Rattus norvegicus: one gene and its partners. The protein of the gene in region 1 interacts with the protein of each later gene in a biochemical or structural test. Links are inferred from orthologs where the notes say so. Each region holds a gene or a part of one and is shown in the gene's direction. Other genes may lie near its edges.

Evidence for each region.
Region 2: the proteins of Pex19 (region 1) and Abcd1 form a complex in vitro, tested with the Homo sapiens proteins (3 studies listed by BioGRID and IntAct, with this or other methods). The link is inferred for Rattus norvegicus from reciprocal best matches to the Homo sapiens genes PEX19 and ABCD1.
Region 3: the proteins of Pex19 (region 1) and Abcd2 form a complex in vitro, tested with the Homo sapiens proteins (3 studies listed by BioGRID and IntAct, with this or other methods). The link is inferred for Rattus norvegicus from reciprocal best matches to the Homo sapiens genes PEX19 and ABCD2.
Region 4: the proteins of Pex19 (region 1) and Abcd3 form a complex in vitro, tested with the Homo sapiens proteins (4 studies listed by BioGRID and IntAct, with this or other methods). The link is inferred for Rattus norvegicus from reciprocal best matches to the Homo sapiens genes PEX19 and ABCD3.
Region 5: the proteins of Pex19 (region 1) and Pex13 form a complex in vitro, tested with the Homo sapiens proteins (2 studies listed by BioGRID and IntAct, with this or other methods). The link is inferred for Rattus norvegicus from reciprocal best matches to the Homo sapiens genes PEX19 and PEX13.

Annotation. Positions count from the first base shown.
Region 1 is NC_086031.1:87,122,321-87,128,345, forward strand, and holds the start of Pex19 (peroxisomal biogenesis factor 19), read left to right. Parts: upstream 1-2,403; coding exon 2,404-2,473; intron 2,474-4,211; coding exon 4,212-4,321; intron 4,322-4,725; coding exon 4,726-4,891; intron 4,892-5,457; coding exon 5,458-5,543; intron 5,544-6,025. UniProt on the Homo sapiens protein: Necessary for early peroxisomal biogenesis. Acts both as a cytosolic chaperone and as an import receptor for peroxisomal membrane proteins (PMPs).
Region 2 is NC_086039.1:156,577,132-156,583,278, forward strand, and holds the start of Abcd1 (ATP-binding cassette sub-family D member 1), read left to right. Parts: upstream 1-2,665; 5' UTR 2,666-3,099; coding exon 3,100-4,002; intron 4,003-6,147. Other genes in the region: Bcap31 (B-cell receptor-associated protein 31), read right to left, coding at 883-974. UniProt on the Homo sapiens protein: ATP-dependent transporter of the ATP-binding cassette (ABC) family involved in the transport of very long chain fatty acid (VLCFA)-CoA from the cytosol to the peroxisome lumen.
Region 3 is NC_086025.1:124,173,521-124,179,022, reverse strand, and holds part of Abcd2 (ATP-binding cassette sub-family D member 2), read left to right. Parts: intron 1-159; coding exon 160-325; intron 326-1,042; coding exon 1,043-1,137; intron 1,138-1,612; exon of another isoform or gene 1,613-1,938; intron 1,939-4,616; coding exon 4,617-4,762; intron 4,763-5,502.
Region 4 is NC_086020.1:212,540,736-212,546,237, reverse strand, and holds part of Abcd3 (ATP-binding cassette sub-family D member 3), read left to right. Parts: intron 1-3,321; coding exon 3,322-3,426; intron 3,427-5,502. UniProt on the Homo sapiens protein: Broad substrate specificity ATP-dependent transporter of the ATP-binding cassette (ABC) family that catalyzes the transport of long-chain fatty acids (LCFA)-CoA, dicarboxylic acids-CoA, long-branched-chain fatty acids-CoA and bile acids from the cytosol to the peroxisome lumen for beta-oxydation.
Region 5 is NC_086032.1:101,804,511-101,810,012, reverse strand, and holds the end of Pex13 (peroxisomal membrane protein PEX13), read left to right. Parts: intron 1-3,529; coding exon 3,530-3,655; intron 3,656-4,571; coding exon 4,572-4,870; 3' UTR 4,871-5,340; downstream 5,341-5,502. UniProt on the Homo sapiens protein: Component of the PEX13-PEX14 docking complex, a translocon channel that specifically mediates the import of peroxisomal cargo proteins bound to PEX5 receptor.

The DNA of each region.
Region 1 (6,025 bases):
CACACACACACACACACACATATGTATACACACATACATATATATATATACACATACGTATATATGTGTATGTATATGTTTAGGTTTTTCTCATCGTATATTGTAAGTTATGGAAATGCCTCATAGTCTCTGGATTATTTGTAACCTTTTGCAGGTATCAGCATTGCTGCAATAAGAAACTTGAACATACATTGTGTGGGTGGGGGAAGTGTGCCTGGGACAGAGCACACAGGACTTTAGTGTTTCCAGATTTAGGAGTTGCTTTCTTAAATATAATCCTCAAACTAAGACTACTTTCTCAAAAATTTGTATATTATGAGAACATTTTCTCAAGTTTTATACATTCTTCAAGTTCAGGCAAGAATCTGGCTCAGCAGTTCACACCCATAATTCGTATTCTTGGAAGCAGAACAATTGGCTAAAGAGTGAGACCCTGTCTCAAAGAAACAGATATCTCGGGCTGGAGAGATGGCTCAGCGGTTAAGAGCACTGACTGCTCTTCCAGAGGCCATGAGTTCAAATCTCCACAACTACTTGGCAGCTCACAACCATCTATAATGAGATCCGATGCCCTCTTCTGGTGTGTCTGAAGACAGCGACAGTGTACTCTTATACATAAATAAATCTTTATAAAAAGACATTAAGAAGTGGCTATCTTGGTGGTTAGAGAGATGGTTTAGCTGTTTAGAGTAAATACTGCTCTTACAGAAGACTCAAGTGCAGTTCCCAGCACCCACGTCTGGTAGCTACCAACGACTTATACTCTTACCCCAAAGGGCTTTGCCACCTCTTGCCCTGAAAGCATAATGTGTGCATGCATGTACAATTTTAAATAATTAGAAATACTTTTAAATATCGACAGTCAGATCTCTGAGTTCTAGGCCAACCAGTGCTATGTAGTGGGACCTTGTTTCAAAAAATGGTCTTTTTATAAGTTTACAAATTAAATTTCAATTGTATAAAACACTCTAATGGGAGTTTTGTAAACAAAGTTGACAATCTCTGCTTCTTGAAGTTTATCTAACTGGGGGAAAGAATGGATGTATGTGTAATAATTGTAAATATCAATCAAGAATCTGAGATTAATCAATATGTGGTGGAGAGCCATTAAGTCCTTAGGACTTGTATGGAAAAGTTTCATGAGCAGGATAAGGCCTGGTGGTGCATATCTGTGATCCTGCTGTTTGGGAGGTATAGGCAACAGGATGAATGAGTGATTCTAAGCCAGCCTGGGCTAAGTGAGCCCCCAGTTGAAGTAAGCAAAAAAGTGGAGGAGGATGTTATAAAATAATATCAGTACCCACTCTATATTAGGAAGGCAGAAAGATCCATGGGGGCTGAGGGGAGAAAGTAAGCATTGAAGTAGGATGCTAGAAATACAGAATAGAAAAAAGAGCCAGGTATGGTGGCATGCCCATTTAATACCACCACCCTTGAGGCAGAGGCAGAGGTATTTTTTAGTTCAAGGCTACCCTGGTCTACACAGTGAGTTCCAGGAAAGCCAAAACTACACAGGGAACCGTCTCGATAAAATAAAAACAAAACAAGCTCACACACACAAAAGGAAAAGAGAAATAATTCAAAGAAAGAATCATGTTTGTTTTTAGTCTGCTTAATTAACATCTGTGTTTCCAATTCTATTTCTAGTCAACCCTTACAGGTAGGACCAACTCTGATTCATTTGTAGGTTTCACTGTGCTCAGCATGCTTGTATACAACGATGCTCACTACACGCTAAAAATAAATTCGGTAATCTTTGTTTATCTGTTTTGTGTGTATGTCAAGGAGCATACTGCAGAGGTCAGAGTCCAGTACATGGTAGAAATCTCTCCTATCATGTGTGCTCTGGGGATGAAACCAAGATTGCCTCAATCTGGCAATCCTGTCTCAATCTAAAAATTGCTCGTTTAATGATTTCATATTTTAGCTAAGCCGTGTGCTGTAATCTCTGTCTTTGGGAAGTGGAGACAGTAGGATTGGAAAACCCTGCCTGAAAACAAAACCTCTCCAGATTAAAGATTCCAGATTAAAGAGACAAACACCACACAATAAATCCCTCCCACCCCTTCTGCCCGTCCCCTCAATCCAGCTGGGCTTGGTGGGTCAAGTATTTGGGAAGTGGAGACGGGAGACCCCGATTTCTGGACCAGCTTGAGCAATTTATCTAGTTCAAGGCCGTGTAGCTCCAGTGATGGAGTGCTTGCTTAGTACGTCCTAGGTTGGAGTCCCAGCACAAGAAAAAGACAAAAACAAAAACAAATCCAGTCTCTTGTCCCTTTAAAAATGGCGGTCCGGCAGGTCGAACGATATTATTGGCTGCTCAAGTCATGGGGGCGGGATTGAGGGTGGGGCATGTGGTGGCGCCAGTGGTTCCACCTCCTACGGCAAGTCGGAGGCAGCAAGATGGCGGCTGCTGAAGGAGGTTGCGGTGCTGGGGTCGAAGCGGACCGGGAATTGGAGGAGCTTTTGGAAAGTAAGAGCCCAAAATGGGAAAGTCCAGAAGTATCGGGGGAGAGGACCCATCATGGGGGTTAAGTGAACTTGAGATTTTTGGGCGGGGCGGGAGAATCTCTTCAATGGTTGGCGGGGGAGGTGGTCTGAGTTCGACCCCGGCCCTCTTTATTAGCTGAATCTGGGTGTTCACCTTAGTCAATGATCTATCCAAACCGTACATCTCCCTGCGAAGGGGAAAACTAACCGTAATGAGCTGTTTCACGACCCCCTTACAAACTTCTCTTGCTTTAGACTGTCGGATTGTTGTTGAGGCAAGGTTCTCGATATCCCAGGCTGATCTGTAACTCGCGACAATCTTCTGCCTCTGCCTCTGGGAGTACCGAGATCACAGGCTGGACTCACCATGATCGGCTTCAGTAAATTATTGAAATCACCTCCCCTTTCAGTAGCAGGATTCTCAGAACAAAATAACCTTTAAGCTCTATATGTACGTGGTAGAATCTTTCTTAACCCGAAACGCCTTTTTACCTCACAGTCTTTTTTTCCCTCAGGCTTTTATCAGACCCTTAGTTCTTTCTTGCAAGTAGTGTGATTTTGAGAGCCTGTCTTGTGTAGTCTATTTAGGCTGACCTCACACTAAGGACTGCAGGCTAGCCTTGAACTTGTGATTTTTTCCGGTCCCTTCCTCAGAATGCCTGGCATCCTTTTTTATCCTTTGGAAAAACAAAGTGAGCCAGTCCCAGAGGAAACGGTTTCTTCTTCCTCAAAAGATGGTGGACCTTCGTTTCTGTCTTGGCCTTGCACTCCACTCCGGTTTTCTGCCCGAGTGAAGCCAGTGCCCTTTCCCTAGTCCTGGCAAGCAGAGTGTTGGTTACAACACAGGCTTTTCAGGGCAGAGGTGAACCTTTTATCTCTTGCTCAGTCACAACGATGTAGACAAGTAGAAAATGAACAGATATAGCAAGAGGAGTGCTCAGTGACTGGATTGGCCCATGGATACTGCATATGAGGCCAAGGAGGCTATAGGTGCCTACTGAGAACTAATTGGAACATAACTTAAGAGTTAATACCTTCCTGTAGAATGCATACTAGTAGTTAGACCTGTGGAAAGCTGGGTGGTATATTCTGTGCTTTCTTACAAGAAGTTAATTAGCTAAGGCCTCAGTGAATTCAAAGAAACAAGGCTCTCGGGGCTAGGGATTTAGCTCAGTGGTAGAGCGCTTACCTAGGAAGCGCAAGGCCCTGGGTTCGGTCCCCAGCTCCGAAAAAAAAAGAACCAAAAAAAAAAAAAAAAAAAAAGAAACAAGGCTCTCCCCTCTTCAAGTTAGACGAAATGTGTCGAACTTTTAAGGGAATTTTTTTTTTTCGGAGCTGGGGACCGAACCCAGGGCCTTGTGCTTGCTAGGCAAACGCTCTACCACTGAGCTAAATCCCCAACCCTTAAGGGAATTTTACAATTTGCCCTTTTAAAGATTTCTCTGCCCAGCTTTTATTTAATTCTTTCCTCCTAGTTCTGAGGTGAACACTGGTTCTGTGTAAAAGGGTTTTCTTCCCAATTGGTCACAGTAAACTAGATGTTTCCCAAGGAAGGGGGGAAGCCTATTGACGAGTGGTCCAGACAGGAGAGCAGGAAGAGAGAGAGAGAAGTTCAGGAGAGTGGTCACTTTATATCATTTTCCTAGTAGTTTGCTTCAAATCACACAGCTCTCTAGCCTTATCCATCCCCAACATACCCACCATGTCTCTTGTCTCCGAAGGTGCTCTTGATGATTTTGATAAAGCCAAACCCTCCCCAGCACCCTCTCCTACCATCTCGGCCCCCGATGCTTCAGGGCCCCAGAAGAGATCGCCAGGAGACACTGCCAAAGTATAAATTCTATCCCCTTAAGGGAGGGGGAGGATGGGTATGCAGTTCAGAGCAGGGGTGGGGCAGGCCCCTGTGGGCCAGAGGGGTGGCTGGGAGGGTACCTTTGCCTCATACTGCTGAGTGTACTTCCAGGCCTCAGTTCCTATGAAACAGGGATAACGAGGAAGTGCCTCGAGTAAAGAGCAGTTTTAAGTGGTTGGATTTGTGTGCTGCCTCAGATTATTCCTTCAATGGCCAAAGTCTTTGCTTGCTGTCCTCCTGAAAAGAGGCAGATGGAATGTTCAGTGGAGGTGCTTGTGGGGGAAGATGTTTCATTTCCCAAAACCTACAATCTGAGCTCCTGTAAGAGGCTAGACCCAGGGTGATGCTGTAGGAGGCAAATTTTGTAAACCTCTCCCCTGCAGGATGCTCTCTTTGCCTCCCAAGAGAAATTTTTCCAGGAACTGTTCGACAGTGAGCTGGCTTCCCAAGCCACCGCAGAGTTTGAGAAGGCAATGAAGGAGCTGGCTGAGGAAGAGCCCCATCTGGTGGAGCAGTTCCAGAAGCTCTCAGAGGCAGCTGGGAGAGTGGGTGAGGAAGCCCCAAACACAAAATGCTGGACAGACCTCTTAATCGCTTAAGAATAGCAGGATTGTAAAGTTGATAACAGTCACGATGTCACAGTCACAGAGTGGGGCAAGGCAAGAGGAAGAGACATGGGAAGCTTGCTTACTAAAAGAAAAGGGTAAGATGTTTTGGGAAGCAATAAAAAAAGGTTATTCCAGTCAGGCGTAGTGGCGTATTCATTCAATCCCAGCACTTGAGAAGCAGAGGGAGGTGAATCTTGTGAGTTTGAGGCCACCATGATCGACATGGTGCATTTTAGAACAGCTAGAACTGCAGAGTGAGACGCTACCTCAAAAATAAATATGATTCTCCCAAACCAACCCTTGTAAAGGAGTGTTACTGTAGCGAACAACCAACACGTTATCAATATAGACTTACGGCATGACCGTGAGGTAAGTACAGAACAGTGGAGATTTGGAAGAGGTAGTAGTTTCCTAGGAAATGCTTTATATCCAGACTGGTAACTAGGCAGTGTAGACAAGCTGACAGTTAAAATCCTAGGTAATCCTCGTTCTTTCCATCTCTCCTAGGCAGCGATGCAAGTTCTCAACAAGAATTTACTTCTTGCCTAAAGGAGACATTAAGTGGGCTAGCCAAAAATGCCACTGACCTTCAGGTAAAGGGAAAGGAATAAGATGTTTCCTGAGCATTCTCTCAAAATAGATGCTCTTGAGGTGGGCGGTGCTGGAGCGATGGCTCAGTGGTTAGGAGCACAGGCTGTTCTTCCACAAGATTGGGGTTCAATTCCCAGCACACACATGCCAGCTCACACTTACCTATAACTACAGTTCCAAGGCTTCTGACACCTTCACAGAGATGTACATGCAGTCGGAAAAAAAAAAAAAAACATAAATAAGATTAAACTTAAAAAAAAAAGTCTAAGGGTTGGGGATTTAGCTCAGTGGTAGAGCGCTTGCCTAGCAAGCACAAGGCCCTGGGTTCGGTCCCCAGCTCCGAAGAAAAGAAAAGAAAGAAAGAAAAAAAAAGTCTACTTCTTTTTTTTTTTTGGTTCTTTTTTTCGGAGCTGGGGACCGAACCCGGGGCCTTGCGCTTCCTAGGCAAGCGCTCTGCCACTGAGCCAAATCCCCAACCCCAAAA
Region 2 (6,147 bases), on another chromosome or scaffold:
TGGATGATTGAGATGAAACTCAGATCTTGAGTTTATACTTACTTGTTCAGCAAGCACTTTACTTACAGAGCCATCTCCATAATCCTTTTCCTTTTCAGACAGTGTCTATAGCTCAAGCTAACCTCAAATTTGTTACAGAGCCAAGACAGGCCTTGAACTCCTAATCCTGCCCTCACCTCGTAAGTGGTAGAACAAAGTTAGTTGGTCCTACAGAGCATCCAAGACTAAAATAGTTCCATCAGGGTTTTGGTCTCTGCTTTCTGTGAATTAAATGTCAATGTGGGTTTTGGCAAGACTATTCCTTAGGTATTATTAACTATGGTGATTTTATAACACCCTAATTTAAATAGAAATAGTATTGATGTACTATAAATGATTTAAAAATTAATATCTAAATAACTTAGAAAATCCTGTTTTTTATTAAAAGGGAATATGGCTTCATCCTTCATAGGCTGATAAATGCTCATGAGCCTACTAAGCAATGCCAGTAGGAGCTGGTTAGGAGGTCAAAAGTCAGCAAATCAGCAACAATGTAAGCCAATGGTGCAAGTATTCTAGTTTCCACACAACTATTCCCCACAGCCCTGAGGCCCAAGAATAGGCAAGAGAATATTACTCAAAAAATTGAAGATATATCTTTCTTTGCAAAGACCAGAAGACAGTGTGCACAAGAATGCAACTGAAGAGGTGACAAAGCAAAACAGTGTTCAGGATTGGTGATAAAAAAAATCATACTCCTGCCACCTTTACCCAAGACAGGTTTTACTTGTTTCCATGTAGCCTCAATTTCAGGGTCCACCAATTCTGCACACAGAAACTACAAGGTTCAGGGTTTGATAGCACCTTCCTCATATGCTTGCTTTGTTGCTCCAATAGCCATACCTTTTGGGAGAAATGAAGGGAATGCAGAGAAGCAACACAGCAAAGACCTCTGCGTAGAGGAAGGTGGCAACTGCAGTCCACTGCAGACTCATCCTGTGACTTAAAGGTTTCCAACAGATGGATAGGAGCTTGTTTCCTGACAGGGCACAGAAGAAACAGGAGGAACCATGAGAGCTGAGAAGTCAAGGACATCTAGTTCAGGGGCCTTGGAAAGGCTAGGGTTGCCACTCTTCACAACAGACCACAGGACTCTGCTTCAGAGCTTTTAAAACCCTGGTTGAAACAGGGCTTAACCCAACAGCAGATACTTGACCAATGATGCTAACCAGGCAACAAACTTCCCTGGACAGTTACTTTTGACCCTCCAGCAAGTGTGTCACTATGACTAGGTACTTTTGTTGATAATTCCTTTCCCTGGTGAGTCCAAGAGACTTAGACCTGTTTAACTTAAGAAAATGTTTCTCGTAAGAATAGGAGGACCTTCTCAGCACCCACCAGGCTCCCCTCCAAGGCTAGTCTTGTATAACTAAGAAAATGTTTCACATAAGAACAGTACATAAAAAGGAGGGCCTTCTCAGCACCCATCAGGCTTCCTTCCAAGTCTAGAAGCCTCTGCTGCAGGAGCTACATGTCTTTCGGTCGCTGCTACAGTGTGACTGGGACTGCAGTGTTCATACATGTATCTTCTGCAAACGCCACCGCTTAAGCCTCTGTACAAGAAAGGAGGCCCATTTCCTCCAACGCTTATGAGGGGCAGATAAACCTAGCAGCCTCCAGCCTCCTCCTCCTAAAGCTGCTTTTTGAGAATTAAACAGGCCTTCAGAATGCTTCCACGAATTCACAGGGTGTAAGGCCTTCACATACATACTCTCAAAAGGCCCACAAGAGCGACTCCTAGAGGGCGAGAATCCAGGCCAAAAGCAAATACAGGTTTCCACAGAGCACGTCAAGGCCTTACTCGGAGAAAGTTCCAGAACCAGAAAAGTCTCTCCCGAAGCCAAGAGACCTCCCTGCATCCTAGTAAGCCACAACGCCTAAGTCCATCGCTCCAGATGGCCTTCGAGGAGCTGGCCCTACCTGGGCAGCTCTTCCGGGTGGGACTTCTCCACTGCACCCCCCTCGCGCCCCCTAGAGTCCGGCTCCACCTGCCTCCACAACATCCCTCTGCCTGATCCCGTCCTAAACTTACAAGGCCCGGATCCCTACACTTCCCAGAACCCAGTCTTTGTGGGATGCTCGCTTTCCTCCCTCATGAGGGGACTCAGGAGAACCTCGGTGGTCCTAAAGTCAGCCATGCACGCGGACGCAGCTTACCGAGTTTCAGCCTACGCGCACGCCCCACTGCAACTACCAAACTCTCACCAAAGCTCAGATCCGCCCCCTAGCCCACGGCCGGAAACCGGAAACGTGCGTCGGGCCCCGCCCAAAATCGTCCTGAGGCCCCTAACGACTCCGCCCATTGTCGTTTCCCGCCCCGCCCTTAGGCGCGGCTAGTTACCAAGGTCTTGAAAGGAAGTAGAGGTTGGCAGCTGAATGCCTCGCCTCCGACACTTCGGACATGCAGGGGTGGAGCTTGGAGGAGACTTGGCGGGAAGGCTAAGGCCGCTTCTCTAGCCTACGCGGACATGCTTCGTCTCTGTAGTCAGAGAGGGGGAGGGACCCAGCGGTAGGGCGAGAACGGGGTGGGGCGCCCCTAGCCCGGACTCCGCCTCTTGCCTCAACTCTGCCTCCTCTCCCCCAACCAGCACCCCTGGGGAGGGGTAGGTGGGTGGGGATTCAGGGCCTTGGTGTAGACGCTGTGGTTACTGCCCGGCTGCAGAGCGGACAAACACGCCTAGTGCCCCGGGGAGGGGCGTCACGGGGGGGGGGGAGGAGCAGTAAAGAAGAGGGAGGTGGAAGGGAAGAGACAACCTCTCTGTTTAAGACCTCTCGAGGCTCTGACCTCAGGGGCTAAGGGACAATCTGTGGAGGGAAGCCAGTTTCCTCCACCCGGGCTGCCTGAAGAGGCCACGACCCTGGAGGATTCTAACCCAACCGATCCAGGGGCCCCAGCACCACCCCGAGGGCCTAAAGCAACAGTCTCAGGGACCACTTCAAGGTTTCCAGTTGCCTAGACAACGAGCCCTGGGTCAGAGAAACAGCCCTTCCAGGATCTGCCCGCAACTGTAGCCTCGGGCAGCAGTTCCAGCCCTCAGCCTGCTCACCAGTCCAGGTGACATGCCGGTACTCTCCACTCCCTCCCGGCCCTCGCGGGTGACCACGCTTAAGCGCACAGCTGTGGTCCTGGCCCTCACAGCCTATGGAGTCCACAAAATCTACCCTCTAGTACGGCAGTGTCTGACTCCTGCCAGAGGTCCTCAGGTGCCAGCTGGGGAGTCCACGCAAGAGGCCTCTGGGGCCACCACAGCCAAGGCTGGCATGAACCGGGTATTCCTGCAGCGGCTCCTGGTGCTCCTGAGGCTGCTGTTCCCCGGAGTCTTGTGCCGGGAAACAGGGCTACTGGCCCTGCATTCTGCTGCCCTGGTAAGCCGAACTTTCCTGTCTGTGTATGTTGCCCGCCTGGACGGCAGACTGGCCCGCTGCATTGTACGTAAGGACCCAAGGGCCTTTAGCTGGCAACTGCTGCAGTGGCTCCTCATCGCCCTTCCTGCCACTTTCATCAACAGTGCCATCCGCTACCTAGAGGGCCAGCTGGCTCTTTCTTTCCGAAGCCGTCTAGTAGCTCATGCCTATGGCCTCTACTTCTCCCAGCAGACTTACTACCGAGTAAGCAACATGGATGGACGGCTTCGAAACCCTGACCAGTCTCTGACAGAGGATATGGTAGCCTTTGCTGCTTCTGTAGCCCACCTTTATTCCAACCTGACCAAGCCACTCCTGGATGTGGCTGTGACCTCCTACACTCTTCTTCGAGCTGCCCGATCCCGAGGAGCTGGTACAGCCTGGCCCTCAGCCATCGCTGGCCTGGTGGTGTTCCTCACAGCCAACGTGCTTCGAGCCTTCTCTCCCAAGTTTGGGGAGCTAGTGGCAGAGGAGGCACGGCGAAAGGGGGAACTGCGCTACATGCACTCTCGAGTGGTGGCCAACTCAGAGGAAATTGCCTTCTACGGGGGCCATGAGGTGGGGCAGGTTGAGATGCTGCTTACATAGCAGAGGAAGTGGCTGGGAGACCTATTGCAGCCAGCTATGAGCAGTAAGGAAAGCCCAAAGCCTACTCCAGCTAATGTTAAAGTTGTGAATAGGCAGTGGGACAAGCTTGGGGGTAGTAGGCATTGGATGGCTGTATTCTTAAGATGCAGAAATGGAGAAATGGCACCATTGGGTGGGAACTTCCCTGTGCTGGCTGCCTGCAACCTCCAAGCCACTTCTGCTTCCTTGGTAAAATTGTCTTGGACTTGAGCTTTGGATTCTATCTACTACATCACAATTTGTGATGCTCTGGTCCAGCTTGCTCCAATCTTGCAGTCAACCATTCCTACAGCCAACTGGGAGGAATTAGACTCCTATCATCTGGGAGCATAGGACCACAGCCTGCCTCCTAACCTCTCTCGCCTCTCTGGGCCCTTTGAAGGCTGGCGTCCAACAGAGTTGGCTGGCTGGGCTGTCCGGTATTATGGGCATGACTCAGCCCAAGCAGAGGTTAACAAGCAGAGCTCAGCACAGCGGCTGCAGCAGCAGTGTTGCTGCTCCGGGTCAAGGCTGTCAGAACCCCAGGCATGTCTGGTTAGTGACTGACAGGATTGGCAAGCAACCTGCCTAGTTGCCTCCCTCCCTCCCAGGGATAGGGATGCCTGACCCCAGCGTCTGCCAAAGAGGCCTGACAACCTTCCTCTCCTACCTCCCCACCCCCACCCCCAGTGTAGCCACCCTTCTACCCAGATCCCAGCCACTTTATGAGGTGGGCTGGAGCCAGGGAAGCCTGGCAGACACTGGGAAAGGATACTTTAGGCCAGTGTAAACTTTATTCTCTGGCAGCCCCTCCCCTTCTTTGTGCCAATGGTTGCAGCTGCCTCAGGCCTTGTTCTGGCTACTGGTTTCGGTTCCCCAGTGCTTGGGGCAGGGGAGGGATACAAAAGCACCCATTTCATGAAGGCCTGTGTGTTTCCTGGATCAGGCCACTTGCCACAGGACCTTGTCCCATTGGCTGCATTTCATATAGACAATCAGTTTTGTCCTTGACTTTTGGAAAGGATTTGTCTCTACATTCTGCTAAGAGAATTTTTGCTGGCCCAGGTCAGGTTTCAGATTAGGAGGAAAAGTGCATCACCCTTACTATAACCCCTCTCCCATTCTCTTCTGAATGCTGGGCTGCAGGGCTTTGGCAAGCTGCCAGGGCCTTGGGTGAGGCACTTGGCACAATACCTGTAGCTATGCCATCAACCTTAGCTGGTGCTGCTACCAGCTTGAGGCATGAGCCTAGATTACCAGGGTGCTGCAAAGGTGGTGCACTCACTTCAGGAATGAGAGGCTAGGTTTTGGAAAGCTGGGCTATATGAGCACTTCTAGGCAGAGAGCACAAAAGAGAGAACACTGGTATTTAAAAAGACTTCCTCTGGGCTAGCTTCAGGAAATAGCACATTAAACAATAGAGGTCACTTGCTGGGACCCAGAGACCTTGTGTAAACCCTTGGCCTGCTTGTCTAAGCCTCATCTGTAAAGCTGTATAGGGTGATGGGCCACCATGAGTGGATTGACTGCCCTTGTTGTATAGGCACATGTCCCACTCCAGTCCCACTGGTTGCTGTACTGTGGACATGGGCCTGGATTCTAGTCAAAAATTTATGAAAAAGGGACTAACTGGCTGGCTGGCATGCAAACAGCAGGGTATAATATTCTTACTAGAGTTTCAGGCAGTGCACATGCATGTGTACAGACATGTATACAAACCTTCTGCTTAAAAGAACAAAGTAAATCTCAAGTCATCTTCATTTGTAAAAATCTGGTTATTAGGTTGAGGCAGGAGGTTGATTGTGAGTTCAAGGCCAGCTTGGGCTACATAGTGAGTTTCTGAGCTACAGAGCAAGGCTGTCTCAAAACACTATAAAAGCCAAGCATGGCGGTGCACACCTTTAATCCCAGCACTTGAGAAGCAGAGACAGGAAAATTGCCACAAATTTGAGGTTGACCCTGGTCTACATAAAGAATTCCAGACCAGCCAGGGCTATACAGTGAGACAGATCTTCTCTCCAAAAAACAAAACAAACACAAAAACAAACAAACAAAAAAAACAACCAGAAGTCTGGTTCTCTAGGGCTGGAATATAGC
Region 3 (5,502 bases), on another chromosome or scaffold:
TTGTTCCCTTCGGTCATCTGATATATTGGGGGTTTTTGTTGTTGTTGTGCCCAATAAAGTGGAATCTTTAGCAATAAATCAAGAAGTTTACGTAGTACATGTTTTTTAAAAATCGTCTACCATGGCTCTATTAACTCACCCTTTATATGTTACTTTCAGATCACTGAACTAGCGGGTTATACTGCCAGAGTGTACAACATGTTCTGGGTCTTCGATGAAGTGAAGAGAGGCATTTATAAGAGAACTGTCACTCAGGAGCCTGAAAACAATAGCAAGAGTAGAGGTGGCCTGGAGCTGCCCCTCAGTGACACCCTGGCAATCAAAGGTGATTTACTTCAGGGTTTGGTGTTGCTTTGTGTAGTTTGTCGGTTTTTTGTTTTGTTTTTTTTTTAACATTTTTCTTATAGGTTATTGTCGTTTTACGAAAAGAACTGGAGGTTTCTTCTTTAGGAAACAGCTTCCGGTAATTACAAGAAACTGATATTTAAATAGCCTCTGTGTTAGTGTTACAGTTGTAGGGGCAGGGATAAGTAGTGGGACCCTAAGGAAATGAGACACTTAATCTCAGGGAAACGGTGTTAGCCTTGTATTCGCAGACAGCACACATGGCTGCATGAACTGTCTGCTTTTAAATCTTGAACCAATAAATAGCATTAGTGATAGTGCCATATTGTTTTTCATTATTCTGGGTTTCTAAATGTTTACCATGTCTTGAAATATATCACTTCTCGATTCCTTTCTCTCTTGTAGGAAATAGGGGAACAGAGTAATTCTAAACTGTGGGGCTTGGTTACATCAGATATAGCTTATGCCTACTAGGCCAAAGATATTGATATTCGATTGTAAAGCTATTTTTATCAGACAGATTTTCTAAATCGATTAAAAACAGGTAGATATTAAGCTGACTTCACGTGTTTCTTCTATGACTTACTAGTGTGAATTATCTTTATAATTGAGTTCGCCCATCCTGCTGTATCATTCTTCCAGTTAAACTAGAAGTAATGAGGTAGCCTTTGCAACTTCAAGCGTTCTTTGGTTACAGGGACAGTCATTGACGTGGATCATGGAATCCTTTGTGAAAATGTTCCCATAATCACGCCGGCGGGAGAAGTGGTGGCTTCCAGTCTGAACTTCAAAGTAAGATGGTGTCCAAGAATCTTCTATTGTTGGCCTCACACTAATAGAAAACAACTCAGAATTCATGTTCCTTATGTTAAGTGCTTGGAGAGGAGCGTGTGGAAAGGGGAGGATCCGAAAGGTATGCACAGTGTCTCAGTTGCAGACGCAGTAACTTCCTCAGAAAGCAGAGTGAAAAGAGAAGCGCGAGCTCTGCCGCGTTGGTGCCAGATTGAAAATCAAATTACAGAACACTGAGGGGACTTGCGACATAGCTCTGGGCAAACAAGAGGAAATCGCGGAAATTAGTATCTGGGAATGAATTTTAACTTTGTATACAGGTTGTCAGGAAATATGTTAAGAGGATACTTTTACATGCCCTCTGAAATACTGTCATTCCCCAGAGGTCCATTATCAAATTTAGTTTTACTAATCCAGGTTTCCTGACTTTCATTTTGACTTTAAATGATCAGAAGATTCATGGACTCAACTCTAGTTTTTGATCCTGTTGAAAATAATTTATTTAATATCCTGCATCTTAATTGCAAAAAAAAAAAAAAAAAAAAAAGAGTGCCAAAAAACATTTTGTAAACTCGAGGACCTGGTTTTAAGGCTTTGTGAGACATAAACATACACATTACACTTCGTATAAAATGGCTGACTGGCTGTACTAGTTGCTTACGTATCCATACACATGCAAGTGTCCCGTCGGCTCCTGCTTTCAGGGGATTTATTTGGGGTTGAGCTATCTCGAGGCTTTCGGAGTGAGGCACAGCTGAACACCAGGCAGGAACATGTTGAAAGGAAGGTCCTTACTGCAAGCTGGGTGGAGAACAGAGAAAGAGAATTTGTGTCAGGCGGAGGTATGGCCCAAGGACACATTCCTACTAACCTCCTTCCTCCACATGGGACTCATGCCCGAGGCTTTCCACCACCCTTCAGAATGTGCCAGAAATTGGAGACTTAGTGATCAACACGTGATCCTACGGAAGACATTTCAGATTTAAACTATAGGAACTATGATAAAGACATTTGAGCTGTTTGATCAAAGGCATGACCAGTCCCCCATTCAAATTATGAGCATCACAATACTAATGATTTTGGAGTAGATCCTAGCCTAGGCTCAGTTATTCGAGATATATTTGCAGTTGTACAGGTTTACTGGAAGTTGAAAAGAGAGGCCAAGATGTGTTGAACACAGGGAAATCCTGTTAATAAATTGAAGAGGAATTGTTTGGCCGGGATTTATTATTCAATTATAAACCCGTAGAGTGGTTTTATTATTAGGATATGACATGTGCACCAATTAGCTACTTATTGCAAATATGTAACATTTTATTTTTCTCTTAGTAGTTCAGCAGTTTAGCTAGCTAAGTGGATGAAGTACTTGCCTAGCCCACAAAGCTCGAGTTCAGTGCTCACCCTGAAAAAAAGGAATGAAACTGGTTCTGTTACTGTTTGGGTCCATTTAGGTAACATAATACTAGTTCTCATTGCTTTAGTTTTTAAATAAAAAGATGACAAAGCTTTCCAAGTTGATGTCTTCTAACCGTGTCTCTGTAAAACCATCATACACTGAGGAAAAACTCAGAGCTAAGTCTCTTGTATGAAATAAGCAATAATCCACCGGGAGAGTCTTATGGATTTTTAACGTACTCTGAAGATAGACATTGTTGTAACATGCTGTTTATAGGTTGTTACTTTTCTCTTCAGAACGTGTAGTTTAATTCTAATCTCCCTGGAATAGGATAAAAAAGTTGCATTTCTTCAGTATTGGTTGGGAAATATACGCTTTTTAAGGAAAATTACATTTATCCCTTTGTTGGTCTTCAAAATTAAAGTTATGACTTAACGGGGTGGGGAAAATCCGAAGTGTGAGATTTTCTTTTCCTCGCACTGTCTTAACATAATTTAACTGAGAAGTTATGTTAAGAAAATATAATCATAATTTACTGAGAAGTTATGTTAGGAAAATATTAACATGAAAAAAGTCCTCGGTTATCAGTTTAAAAGTGTTAAATTTCTAAGAACTCCTGACGGGAATTGATAGTTTAAAACATTTTAGGAATGCGCTGCTCACCATGGCATGTACCTTCCAAAACTCTTTTTGGATGGTGCTCAGGTATCTAGCAAGTGAATCACCCATCATCAAGAAGTCTAGTGGAAGAGAAGAACCAAGACAGAGCTCCTTCTTGGTAGCTTCTCCCAGAATGTTCTGGAACACTAGCAATCCACCTTTGCCTTTCACTCTTGGTGTCTTCCTTTTTTTTTTTTTTTTTTTTGAAACTTGGATATTTGTATCCATTCAATGAAAATACACATGCATAGACATCCTCCATTCCATGAAAAGGTGCATGCATAGACATCCTGTGGATTTCTATCTCTCTTCCCCTCATCTTCATTTTTGCATCCCTGATTAGAAAGCAAATCAAATTTGTAAGCTGCGTCCTGCTCCTTGCGCATGTGGTCCCCTGCACATGTCTGATAGGAAGGCAACCTCTCCACCCTATCAAACTGAATGCAAGTCAAGAAGTCTAACTATTTAAACTTAATAGATAACAAAGGCAAGTGATAGACGGGAGTTTCGGTTTAGTGATTAATAAGTAAACTTGTTTTATGGAATGAATAATATATGGATATGATCTCCATTTACAGAGAGAAGGTGATTATTATATGTATATATGTTCTTCCTAAATATCCTTAAGGGATAGGTTCCACGACACCCAAATCTGATAACATTCAACCGTTCAGTTTTATACAGGAAAAGAGTCTGTATATATTTGATACAGATGCAGCCTTTCTTTTCTTCAAGTAATTACAATCCCCAGTTGGCTGACTCCTCAGAAGGGCAGTTCTGACTATACGGAGACTTGACTATATGTGTTTAAACCCAACCCTAGGCATATGCTACACTACAGTTCCCTTGCTTTCCTCTGTCTTGGCTTCATAAACATATTTTTTACATCTATAAATGCACCAGACTTAGACTAATATTATCTTTCTTTTATGTGCTTTTGTGATCTTTCAGCATTCCATACACTAATATAAAAAATTAAGAACCCACCTGGCTCCTGGGATAAATGTGCTTTTAGTATATTCAACTTTCAGTTGCATTGGATTTTATATTAGTTTAATTAGATAGTAATATAAGTAAAATAAAATCTAATTTTAACTTAAACCCTATGATTTGATTTTCTCTCATGTGTAGTTAACTTCTCTATCTGTGTGCAGATTCAAAATATCTCAGTTGAAGTGTCGGAGAGCCAGTGTTCTTTCCAAAAAGAGTCAATATTTTTGCAATTAATTATTTTATGGTACTTTTAGCTCCATAGAATAGCCGAAGTTAAACTCGAAGTTGCAATCCTGATATATTTTATTTGCTGTCTTCACTATCCAAGATTATCATATGGGTTGGATACTTTAAAAAAAAACATTTTTAAATGCTCCCAGATGAAATAATTATTGAACATTGCAGCTTATGATTCTATTTCTGACTTCAGGTAGAAGAAGGGATGCATCTTTTGATAACCGGCCCCAATGGTTGTGGGAAAAGCTCTCTGTTCAGAATCTTAAGTGGGCTCTGGCCTGTGTATGAAGGAGTCCTTTATAAACCACCTCCCCAACATATGTTCTATATTCCACAGAGGTAAGACTTTTTTTTGTATCAAATAGAAACAGTTGCTTTTGTGATTAAGTTGCGCTCATCTCTCAGGCCCTTTAGGTTACGCTCATTTAAGGTATTTTCACGTAGAGAAACTGTTGGGGAAATAAGGTGAGGCTCAGTTACTCCCTGAGTTCTGTCTTACTGCCTTGACGGTAATTGACCCTGGATCCATGCCACTTCCTGTAGTTTTCAGATCTGACAGCATGTTAAGAGTGTTCAAAGACTTCAGATGTCTTAGGAAAGAGTAAATGGCTCCAAAGAATAATTCGATGTCATGTTGCCTTCTTACAAAAATATAGGGCTCCGGTCCTATTCAGGCCTTTCTATCACGTTTTATACTTTAGCGTCCTGAGGTTGTCCATTCATGCTGCAGGGCCTTCTTCAGGTCTTTACTGTGTCTATGCTAGATAATAAATCTTAACTACCTTGACTGACATTGCATTAAGACTAAGACAAGCATAGAAAATCACATTGTTTTTCCCCAAATCGTTGGCCATCTTCCCTCATAACCACACAGAAGCATCTGAACACAAGGTTATATACTTGAGAATTAGAGTACTCGTTGTGGCGAGAGAAAGTCAACTGTAAATGAAAAATCAGCTCCCTTGGTCCAGAGATTTCTCCAAGTGTCGGCCAGGTTCAATAGACACTCCGTGTATTCTCTCTGGGTTATCTTGTGTGTCGCCCGGGTTAAGCAGACAGTCACGGTGTTCCCTCGGGAT
Region 4 (5,502 bases), on another chromosome or scaffold:
GCTGTCCTGTGAGAGGGAAAACTATAGAGTATTAGGTGTAAAGTTAGGCTGCTTTCTAGACAGTGGGCCTGTGAGGAGCCCGGTAAGTCTTTCCCCTAAAGACGGCCTGTTAGCTCCTGCAGGCTGCTGTCCCTGAACAGCGGAAAGCATTAGAAACACCATTTCTTCATCCTTCTCTTTGTCCTTGTTCCTCCCTCCACGGTCAGTTACTTGTAACTTTGTTTCTTCTGTCACTAACCTACTCCCGAAGTTACTTAGAACTTTTTAAAACTTTCCTAGTACAAAGAAGAATTGGAAACACTTTAAATTTTATAATAACAAAGTTATCTTGAAGATAGATAGCGGTTTTCCTCTCCCGTATTCCATCCTCTCCTTATTTGTTGTTCTCTAAGCTCCCACAGAACAGCCCAGCTCCAAGTTCTAAATGCTCCCACTGTCCTAACAAACAACAACATGGTGGGGTCCACTGTAGCAAGACCAGTCTCAGTGATAAACACTATGGCCAAAGCCAATTTGAAGGAGAAAGTCTCTTTTAGCTTTTGTGTTACAGTTCATCACCTGGTGAAGTTAGGGCAGGAACTCAAGGAAGTAAGACTTGAGTGGAAACCATGAAGGAGTGCTGTGGACTGCCTTGCTCCAGGCTCATGTTCACGTACCATTCCTATTCAGCACAGGGCTGCTTGCTCAGAGATGGCACTGCCCGGGGAGCTGGGCCTTCCTCCATCAATTAGTAGTCAAGAAAGTAGGCTAGGGATGGCGCAGTATTAAAGAGCACTGTTTGCTCTTCCAGAGTTCCTGGGTTTAACACCTACTACCCACATGGCATCTCGGCTGTTGGTGACTACAGAGGTCTACATTAGATGTCTTGTGGATTTACTTCTTGAGACAGGGTCTGTCGTTGAATCTGGAGATTATAGGTTGGCTAGGCTGGCTGTCCAGCACGCCCACAAGATCCTTCTTTTCTGCCTTCCAGCACTGGATTAGAGTTGATGCCACCATGCCCGACTGTGTTTTTGTGTGGGTTTTGGGGATTTGGACTCAGGTCTTTGTGCCTGCACAACAGGCACTTTACCCACCGAGCCATCTTCCCAGGCTCCCCCCCACCCCCCATTCAGTTTCTGCCTTACGTCTTTACTGCTCAGCAGAACTCGTTTTATATTTGAATAAGAGCTGTGGTTCAGGTCAGTAACAGCTAATGTTTGAGGGCTTAGTAGATGATAGTCAATATGCCAAGAAGACTACAAAGGCTAACATATTATATCTTTTAAAACAGTCCTATGAAATAACTAATGTGAATATCCCAGTCACCAAGGAAGCTATACTTCAATAGTTTGGGGCTCGCCCAGCAGACAGTTGCTCTTAGAATTGGTGAAAGATTGCTTATCAACAGCAGTTCAGACAGAATATTGGTTTAAATACTTGCTTTACAGCTTGCTTGTTTTGTGGAGTCAAGTAGCTGACAGCATGGGGAGAGAAGGGGACACACACACACACACACACACACACACACACACACACACACACGGTGAGAATAGGTTCATGGAGCACAGAGGCACGGGAAGTACTGTCAATGCACTGTCTGTGGTAATGTCTGATGCTTCCTCTTCTTCAGTTCACGCACATAGGTGTGACCCTCAGAAAAGCCATTTGTTCTAGTTACCCACTTGCTATCTATACGTGAATGGAACAGCTGTGTGACGTGTCCGGTATATTGTAGTAGTTTAACCATGGTTTCTGCTTCAGTGAACTTTACATTTTAGGCAGCCACACAGAGAAAGATGAGCTCAGGTTTGCCATATGCAGCAGTCCCATAAGGGCCCACGTGGACTGAGAGAGTGACTTACGCAGACGCTTGGAAGATATCTAGACCAGAGCCAGATACTGGGACTTGAGAAAGAATAAGCTGTTGTGAAAGCACAGGCATGGTTCAAGCATTCTGGAGTTAGAGGCAGGAGGATTGCCATGGGTTTGAGCCAGCCTGGGCTAATCAGAGTGAAAGCCTCTATCAAACAGACAGAAACAGCACAACAGTGAGAAGAGACGGGAAAAAGAGAAAGGGAAGAGTGACATGACAGACAGCCTCTAAGGCCTGGGGCATCTTACTCCTAGTGCTTGATGGGAAGAGGCAGAGCTGGCTGGAGCTAAGATCAGAGCATGGCAGGAGGAAGGGGATGGACCATGGAGATGAGGAGGGAGACGCTGTGGAGAAACTTTAAGTCAGGTGGGGTTCTTTGCGTTACATGTATAGTAGATGCTCTGGCTACATGGAGAAGAGTGGACAGCAGAGAGGGCGGGTGGTTGTCATGCAGGCAAAGAATGAGTACAGAGACGTCGTGGCAGAGACGGAGAGTGTGCGCACTCGAGACTCCACGAGACTGAAAAGGGGGGATGAGAGGGAGGGAAGGAAAGGGGTCAGAAAGATTCAGCTCCTAGGTGAGACTAGGTGAGGGGGGGGAGAGAGGAGAGAGAGAGAGAGAGAGAGAGAGAGAGAGAGAGAGAGAGAGAGAGAGAGAGAGAAGGATCTGGGATTTAGTTCTGAGGCCCCCCCAAGTGTGCACACTGAATGCCAGGTGGGAAGGTACCAGAGAGGAAGCAGGGCAGCAGGGGAGGGCCTCCAGTGGGCACCCTTACTTGTTCCTCAGGGAGGAGTGCCTTGAGGAGAATGGTGCTCAGAAGATGGATTAGGGTTAGGAAGGTGTCTGATGGTTTGCAACATGAAGATCTCCTTTGTGGACATTGACGGAACATTTCCAGGAAATACAATACATTTGGAATATAAGTGAGGAAAATTTTCCACATCCTGCTAATGAAGGAAATGTAAGCACTAGCACTCCCAAGTTCATTTCTAAGATCAGCAGGTTTCAGAAACAGCACACTTCAGACCAGCAGGACAGGCCCGGCAGGTGCACTGTCGGATTGGTGGAACACCGACAGATGCCTTTACTTAAGCAACAGTCGGGGGATTCTGTGCGTCTGAGCCATCTGCAGTCTGACTTCTAAGTTTTGGCTAAAACACAAGCTGGTTTGTCTGTTGAGTTCATCTTAAAACTCAGTTCCAGCTCACACCAGTTTTTGGTTTTTCTTAGCAATGCTTATTTCTCACACATTACATTTCTCCTTTTGTTTAAGATGACAGTAAAAATGATTCATTTTATTTATATTATTTCTATCTCTGGGGTGACACTTTTTAGTTAGGAATAGCTTTCATGTTTTAGCTCTGTAAGACTCCAAAAGTGTACTTACTGAAGTGAGCTTATCCTTTTGCTAGTTTTATCTTAGGCCGACCTCTGTTCACACAGACTGTTTCCTTCTGTGCTTTAGATGGCAAGATTGTTTTATCATAAACCCCAGTTTGCCATTCTGGATGAGTGCACAAGTGCAGTTAGTGTGGATGTGGAAGACTACATTTACAGCCACTGTCGGAAGGTAAGTGTCCCGGAGCGTCTGTATGCCATGTCCACTGCAGGCTTGGAGCCGAAGGCAGCAGGATTGCTACGGAAGGTAATACCTTGCCTTGTCTTTAACCTGGTAACTAATGTCTGTAACAGAACACAAGGACTTGTCAGTGTATTCTAAATACAACTCAGACATGAACACAGTACAATTATCCATGCATTCTAAATCTAACTCTCTTTAGCTTTAGCAATCTCTTAGTTGTGGTACAGTGTTTAAATCTGTTCTTTTCTATCATTACTTACACGCCGTTAGCCAAAAAACACCAAAAATCAAGAAGCCTCTGTTCTTTCTTTTGTTTCATTAACTTTACCTATATATCACTTTTTAAACTAAGAAAAATCAAGAGTAACCATATGGTAATTTAATTTTTTTTAATTTTTATTTTATGTGGGCATGTGTTTGTGGCATATGAGCCCGTTGTGCTTGTATGTGCTTGTGTGAACGGTGGTGTGCATCATATGGTGCATGTAGAAGACACAGCTTGACTCTGTATCTTATCTCTATGTTGTTGACGAGGCAGCTTTCTTGCTGCGCTGGAGTTTGCTGACTCAGCGAGTTCTTGCCCTGTCTCTGCATTCTGAACACGAGGTTTGCAGGCAGTCCACAATGCCCACCAGACAAAATCCAGTACTCATGCTGGGACAGCAAGGGCTCTACCCACCGAGTCATCTCTCTACCCCTTCATTTATTATTTCTTAATTTGTCCGGTTTACTTTATTTGGATAGTATTATCTAAAATAAGTTTCTTTGAGTTGGCAAGTAGGAGGTGGGCTGGGCTACCATTATTTAAATACTTGTTCACTAGGCCTGGTGCACTCTTGTTAAATTTGAAAAGTAATAGTACATTCTATTATTCTGTGTAAATAAATGAGTTACAGGAGTATTTTAACAATTTATTTATATTTGGGGAGTTTACCATAAAAAAGTCATGTTGTACATGTGTGTACACACACACACACACACACACACACACACACACACAGAGTTCCTGCCATTTGGAGGATGGCCAAGGGTCAGCAGCATTGACAATACCTGGAAGTTGTTAGAACTGTGGAGTCTCTAACTTTGCAGAGTAGAACCAGTGTAGTGACAGACTGTCACATGGGTCAAGTGCGTGTGAAAGGGTGAAGTGGGTGCTTCAGGAGTGTCTTCAGTCTTCTCTACTGGAAGACTGAATTGAACTATGAATTGCATTTCTTTAATGGCTTATTTCTCTTCTCTAATCCTTTTGAGTAACTCATATGTGGTTTTCAGTTTTATAGGCATTAGAGATGTTTGTGGTGTTTTCACGCGTAAGACCATATAGACTGTATTGCACTTGGAGGCTTTTCCAGGACCTCTGTGTTGTTGCCTCTTTTGATTTTGAGATGTGTAGGTCTGTAAAATACATCTCATTTGAGGGGAGAAAAGTTACTCGAGGTCTTAATGATAATTTAAATCATACTGGTTATTAAGAAGCAGACAACGAGGGACTGCTTTAGAAGGTTTAGAACCTTCTAAAGCTGTTGCTTTGGTCTGTGCGTGTGTGCTGGTGCTCACGTAGGTCAGAGAACTGTAGTAGTCCGTTCTCTTCCACCATGGCAGTCCACAAATTGATTGCTAGCCTTGGTGGCAAGTGTCTTTACTCACTAAGGCATCTTGCAAGCCGTACACCTTTTTCTAACTATAACTATAAATTTACAGATGAATTAAAGCAACACTTAAGCTCAATGTAGAATGTTTGATATTAAAGAGAAAAGTGGTGTGTCTTTGCAGAATCTAAGCCATGATCATAAGATTTAATTTTGGAAAGGTAGCATCTGGTGTTCAGATCTTACCATTTAAATTTTACTTTTGTATTTTGGCTTCAGTAATTCTAATACACACTATGCCTACCCTAATTAAGGTCTAATCCAATTACAAAATCGGAAATAGAAAAAAAAAGTCTCAATAGGCTTTTGATACAGTTGAGATGCATGTTTAACAAAGCTCATAGTATACATATCTTCTTATGCAGGTTCTAACTAATTTGCACGTTGGCAGCCAAACTTGTGACACGGTTTAAAT
Region 5 (5,502 bases), on another chromosome or scaffold:
ATTCAGATGTTTATAAAGTTTTATTGAAACATAGCCATACTTACACATTGCCGTGGCTGATTTTGTATTGAAACAGCAGAGTAGCTTGTGCAAAGACCTTATGTGGATTAATGGATTCACACTACTGGCTGAGCTGCACTCTACAAATCTCAAACTCAGTTCCAGTTTGGCAGCAGACAGAGTGCCATGTGTATTGTTTTGTTTTGTTTTGTTTTGTTTTTTTGTTTTTTTGTTTTTTGGTTTTTTTTTTTTCCGGAGCTGGGGACCTAACCCAGGGCCTTGCGCTCACTAGGCAAGCGCTCTACCTCTGAGCTAAATCCCCAACCCCTTTTTTGTTTTGTTTGTTTGTTTGTTTGTTTGTTTGTTTCTTTTTTTCCCGGAGCTGGGGACCGAACCCAGGGCCTTGCGCTTCCTAGGCAAGCGCTCTACCACTGAGCTAAATCCCCAACCCCCACGTGTATTGTTATAGTGTTGTAGTGGCTTGAATGTGAATGCCCGCCCCATAGGCTCATAGATTTCAATACTTAGTCACAGGGAGTGGCAGTATTTGAAAAGAGTAGAAGCCATGTCCTTGTTGAAGGAAGTATGTCAAAAGCCCAAGCCAGTCCCCGCAGCTCTCTCTTCCTGCTGCCTTTGGATGTGGATGTAGACTTCTGAGCTACTGTGTCTGCCTGCAGGCTGCCCTGCTCCCCACCGTGAGGATAATGCATTGAAATGAACTGTAAGCCAGCCCCAGTTAAATGCTTTCCCTTATAAAAGCTGCTGTGGTCATGGTGTCTCTTCACAGCAGCAGAAACTCTAAGACAGTATTTTTTGGTGGTGCAGCTGGGAATTAAATATAGACTTTAAGCATGCTAAGCTAGTGCTCTGTTCATGAGCAAAGTCACTGTCTTAGTTAGGATTTCATTGCTGTGAAGAGACACCGTGACCAAGACAACTCTTAAAAAGGACAACATTTAATTGGGGCAGACTTAATACTTTCAGAGGCTCAGACCATTATCATCTTGGTGGGAAGTATGGCGGCATCCAGACAGGCATGGTGTGGGAGAAGCTGAGAGTTCTACATCTCCATCTGAAGGCCACCAGAAGACTCATACTCAGGCTGCTAGGAAGAAGGTCTCTTCTGCAGTGGGTAGAGAGGTCCAGAGCCCACCCCTACAGTGACACGCTTGCTCCAACAAGGCCACACCTCCTAATGTTAGCACTGCCTATGGGCCCAGCATATTCAGACCACCACAGTCACATACTACGTTTCATAAAGAGGTTGTATGTAGCACACTAGATCTGAAAAGGAGGGGTTATCCTTTAAAGACACAGTACAATGAATTTTGGTAAAGTACTTGTTCACTCTGCAATGACACAATAGTTGTGTTAAATTATTACAGCTGCCAGACTGAACAGTAGTCACAGAAATCAACACTTAAAAACTAAAAATTTCCTACTCTACCCACAAAAGTAAAGGAAATAGAAGCTAAAACCAAAGTTTAATTTGCTAGCCAGTGAAGGAAATCTTAATTGATAATTATTACAACAGCCAAAGAAATTTATCTGCAAACAGTAAGTCTCTTTAAGGCTGTTAGCCTGTCAATGAGATTGGTTTCTTAACATTCAGAATGGCATTGCCACCTGAAGATAAGTGAAGGGTGCTGGCTGTATGTTATCAGAGCATGTGCTTAGCATGTGCTTAGCATGTGCAAGGACTGGTGTCAGACCTCACCTCACAGAAGAAGAAAAGGGGGCGAGTTATTTGAGTGGCTTTCTCTGGCTCGTGATAACCCACTAGATCCTGACACTTCACAGTTGCTTGAGGCGGCCGTGGTAAATCTGAGGTAATGATGTAGTTTGCCACTGTGAATAGCTATACAATATGACTAATTTTAAAACTGGAAACACTGATTTATTATAGCCTGAAGTGGAATCTACTAAGCAGTACTGCAAGAGTAGTCAAAATATGTGAAGTCTAAAAGGGTTTAGTTGAACAAAATTTATAAATCTTTGAGAAACATTTTCTAAGTTAATGGTTGTTCAGGTTCTGTTCAGCCACAGAGACTATGGGCAGTTCCTGAGGCTTTCCAGCTGCCCGGTGATGCAGCACTGTTGTCATGTCAAGTGGGGCCACAGAGATGGGGCAGCAGTTACAAACCGACTTCCCCTCCAGGATTTTCTTTTTTTTTTTTTTTTTTTTTCCTTTTCTTTTCTTTTTTTCCGGAGCTGGGGACTGAACCCAGGGCCTTGCGCTTGCTAGGCAAGCGCTCTACCACTGAGCTAAATCCCCAACCCCCCAGGACTTTCTTAATAGAAGTTGGGGATGCTGTGTTTGTCTTTTTGTTTTAATATCTGACAGGGTCTCGTGTGACAGATTACTTGGAAAGAACAAGGGGTTAACAGGAGAGAGAAGGGACGAGAGGATGGGCTAAATATCTCCAAGTGCATTGTACCCATTTATGAAAATGTCATAATGAAATCCATCACTATGTATAATTAATATATCCTAATAAAAATGTTTAAATCGGGCTGGAGAGATGACTCAAAGGTTAAAGAGCACTGACTGCTCTTCCAAAGATCCTGAGTTCTATTCTCAGCAACCACATAGTGGCTCACAACCATCTGTAATGGGATCTAATGCTCTCTTCTAGTGTGTCTGAAGACAGCTATAGTGTATTCACATAAAACAAATAAATAAGTCTTTTTTAAAAAATGTTAAAAATCAGTGAGATTTCCACTCCCATACAGGTTTCCAAGTTCAAACTGAGTCCCAGAAGCAGTTTTTGGACTTCTAGTTGCAAAGGAAACAACATTTCAGACTCTAACTGTAACTGACAAGCTCCCACTGATGTATCATTGGGAAATGATTAGTCAGCAGTGTGATAACATGGTACACAGCATAGTTGAGAAATGTGAACAGAATTATATCCTAGTCTGTCACTCTCCCAAGTAATGGGTGTGCTTAATCAAACCTGGATACCCGAGAATTGCACCTCAAATCTTACTGCCAATTAGCATTTCACAAATGAAATACAGAAATGAGTGTTTGCCATTGAACCCAAAATAAATGAAATATCCTTCCCCTGAGTATTCTTTTCTTCTGAGTAAACATGTACTACCACTTAAAATAAGCAAACAAACAAAAAACCCTGCTATTTTGAATTTTGCCTAAAAAAAAACCCATGAAATTTCTTTTTCATGTTTTATAAATAATTATATACTATCTAAGAAACTTTTCCTAGTGGACTTCAATATATAAAATGTACACTACTCACCCTCTATGAAGAAAGGGAGGAAAGAATTGTCAGCCCCTGACTGAAAGTGAGAGGGTAAGAAAGGGGAAGAGTTTGTAAGGAATGTGATAGTGTGGTAGTTCGTTCGTACAACACTAAGCCTGCCTGCCCTTCACAGTGATCCTTGTGAGGAGCTACTTAGGAAGGGAGGCCCGTCCACTTGGCAGCTGGATTTGTGCCGCTTACAAGCCACAGCCAGTGAACATCTGCATTTTGCTAACTTTTTAACCTACCATTGATTTCGTCTGTAGACAGCACCAACTGGGCAAACGGTGAGGACGACCATGTAGTTGCTAGAGCAGAATACGACTTTGCCGCTGTGTCTGATGAAGAAATTTCTTTCCGTGCTGGTGATATGCTAAATCTAGCCCTCAAAGGTAACAAGTTGTAATTATCTTTAGTTTTTAATAATTGTAAAGGTATTATTTGAAACTGAAACAAAGCACCTTACAGATGGTTACCAGAGTTTTGCTTTTGTCTGTTTTTTTTTTTTTTTTTTTTTTGGTTGTTTTTTTGTATGTTTGTTTGGTTGATTGGTTGATTTTTTTTTTCTTTCTTTTTCTTTTCTTTCCTCCTTTTTTTTTCTTTTCAAGGAAGAGATTGAGACAGGGTCTCACACTGTATAGCCCAGGATCACAAGTGTTAACCTCCACTGTCCCCGTTATCCTCTTGTCCCCTCCCAACCCTACTGACCCCTTGCTCTTCTCAACTCATCCCCTTTATTATTTTGTACATGAGACCCTGTGTCAGACACAGTAAAGTCAGAGAAAATGCCTCATACATAGTATTAGAAGACTTCCCTGTATAGTCTCTTCTAAATTCAAAATTCTTGTTAATCCCTATACAGTATACAATGCTTTTCATAGGACTATTTAGTATGCTATATAACGTATACTTACAATACTTTATTTTTTCTATTTATTATATTTTATTACTTTACTAAACTGTAAATTTAAGAATGGGATTGAAGCGTGACACTATCTATTGTCCCTACTACCTAGGAGGCTAAAGCACTTAGGTGACTGAGATTCCATCTCTTTATTTTAAAAGAAAAATGGATCTAGACCGGTTAGGTGCGCTAATGTTTGCTTTTGAGTGTGTGTGCACATCCTACTCATTTACCTGTCTCACTACAAGTTTCTGACTTTGTTTAGCATACATTATCGTAATATATAAATAAATAAATACACACACACACACACACACACATATATATATATATATATATATATATATATTTTTTTTTTTTTTTATTCCAGAGTGTACTTAAAAACTGTCTCTCTCTTTCTTCAGAACAACAACCCAAAGTGCGTGGCTGGCTTCTGGCTAGTCTTGACGGTCAAACAACAGGACTTATACCTGCAAATTATGTCAAAATTCTTGGTAAAAGAAGAGGCAGAAAAACAGTAGAATCGAGTACAATGCCCAAGCAGCAACAGTCTTTTACCAACCCAACATCAGTTAAAGGAGTCACTACCACCAATTCTTTGGAGGAACAGGAAGCTGCCTTTGAATCTGTTTTTGTTGAAACTAATAAGGTTGCCGGTACACCTGATTCTACAGGGAAAAATGGAGACAAACAAGACCTTTGATGTGTTTCATGTTTGCGGGCAGGTGAACAATATTTTAGAGTATTTTTAAAATTATTTCTTACAGAGGAATTAATTTGCGGTTGAATGAAAGCATTTGCTCATGGCTGTCCCGGGCGTTCTGCTGCTAGAAGTTATGTAGTCACACGCTAGTTGCTGGTCAAGTGATCTGGCTACACTTGATTGTCTCTTGGACCATGAGGACATTTGTTTCACTTAGCTTTTAAGATTGTGGAGATAGTTGTCGGCTCCATCTTATCTCAGTCCCCAGGCTTATTGGATCAATAAATTTGATGAACAATAGAACACACAAGTTGCCTCAGAAGGGATCACTAATGCTTTTTAAAGTTCTGAGTTAGTTGACGTGAAGTCTTCAAAAATTGAGTGATAACAACTACTTATAAGAACAGACAAAAGTCTAAATTTTTATAACCTTATAAAGAAACTAAATAATAAAAATTTTCTGATCTATATTATGTCTGGTGTTGAATTTACTTTAGGCGATGTGGTTTTTACCTGCCAACAATTGATACTATCATCTTTTATTGTATTTATAAACGTTTGTTGTTAAGAGGTCACTGGAAGCACCGTGAGGGAGATGGTTCTAGAATGACAGCTCCTTAATCTCTTTACAG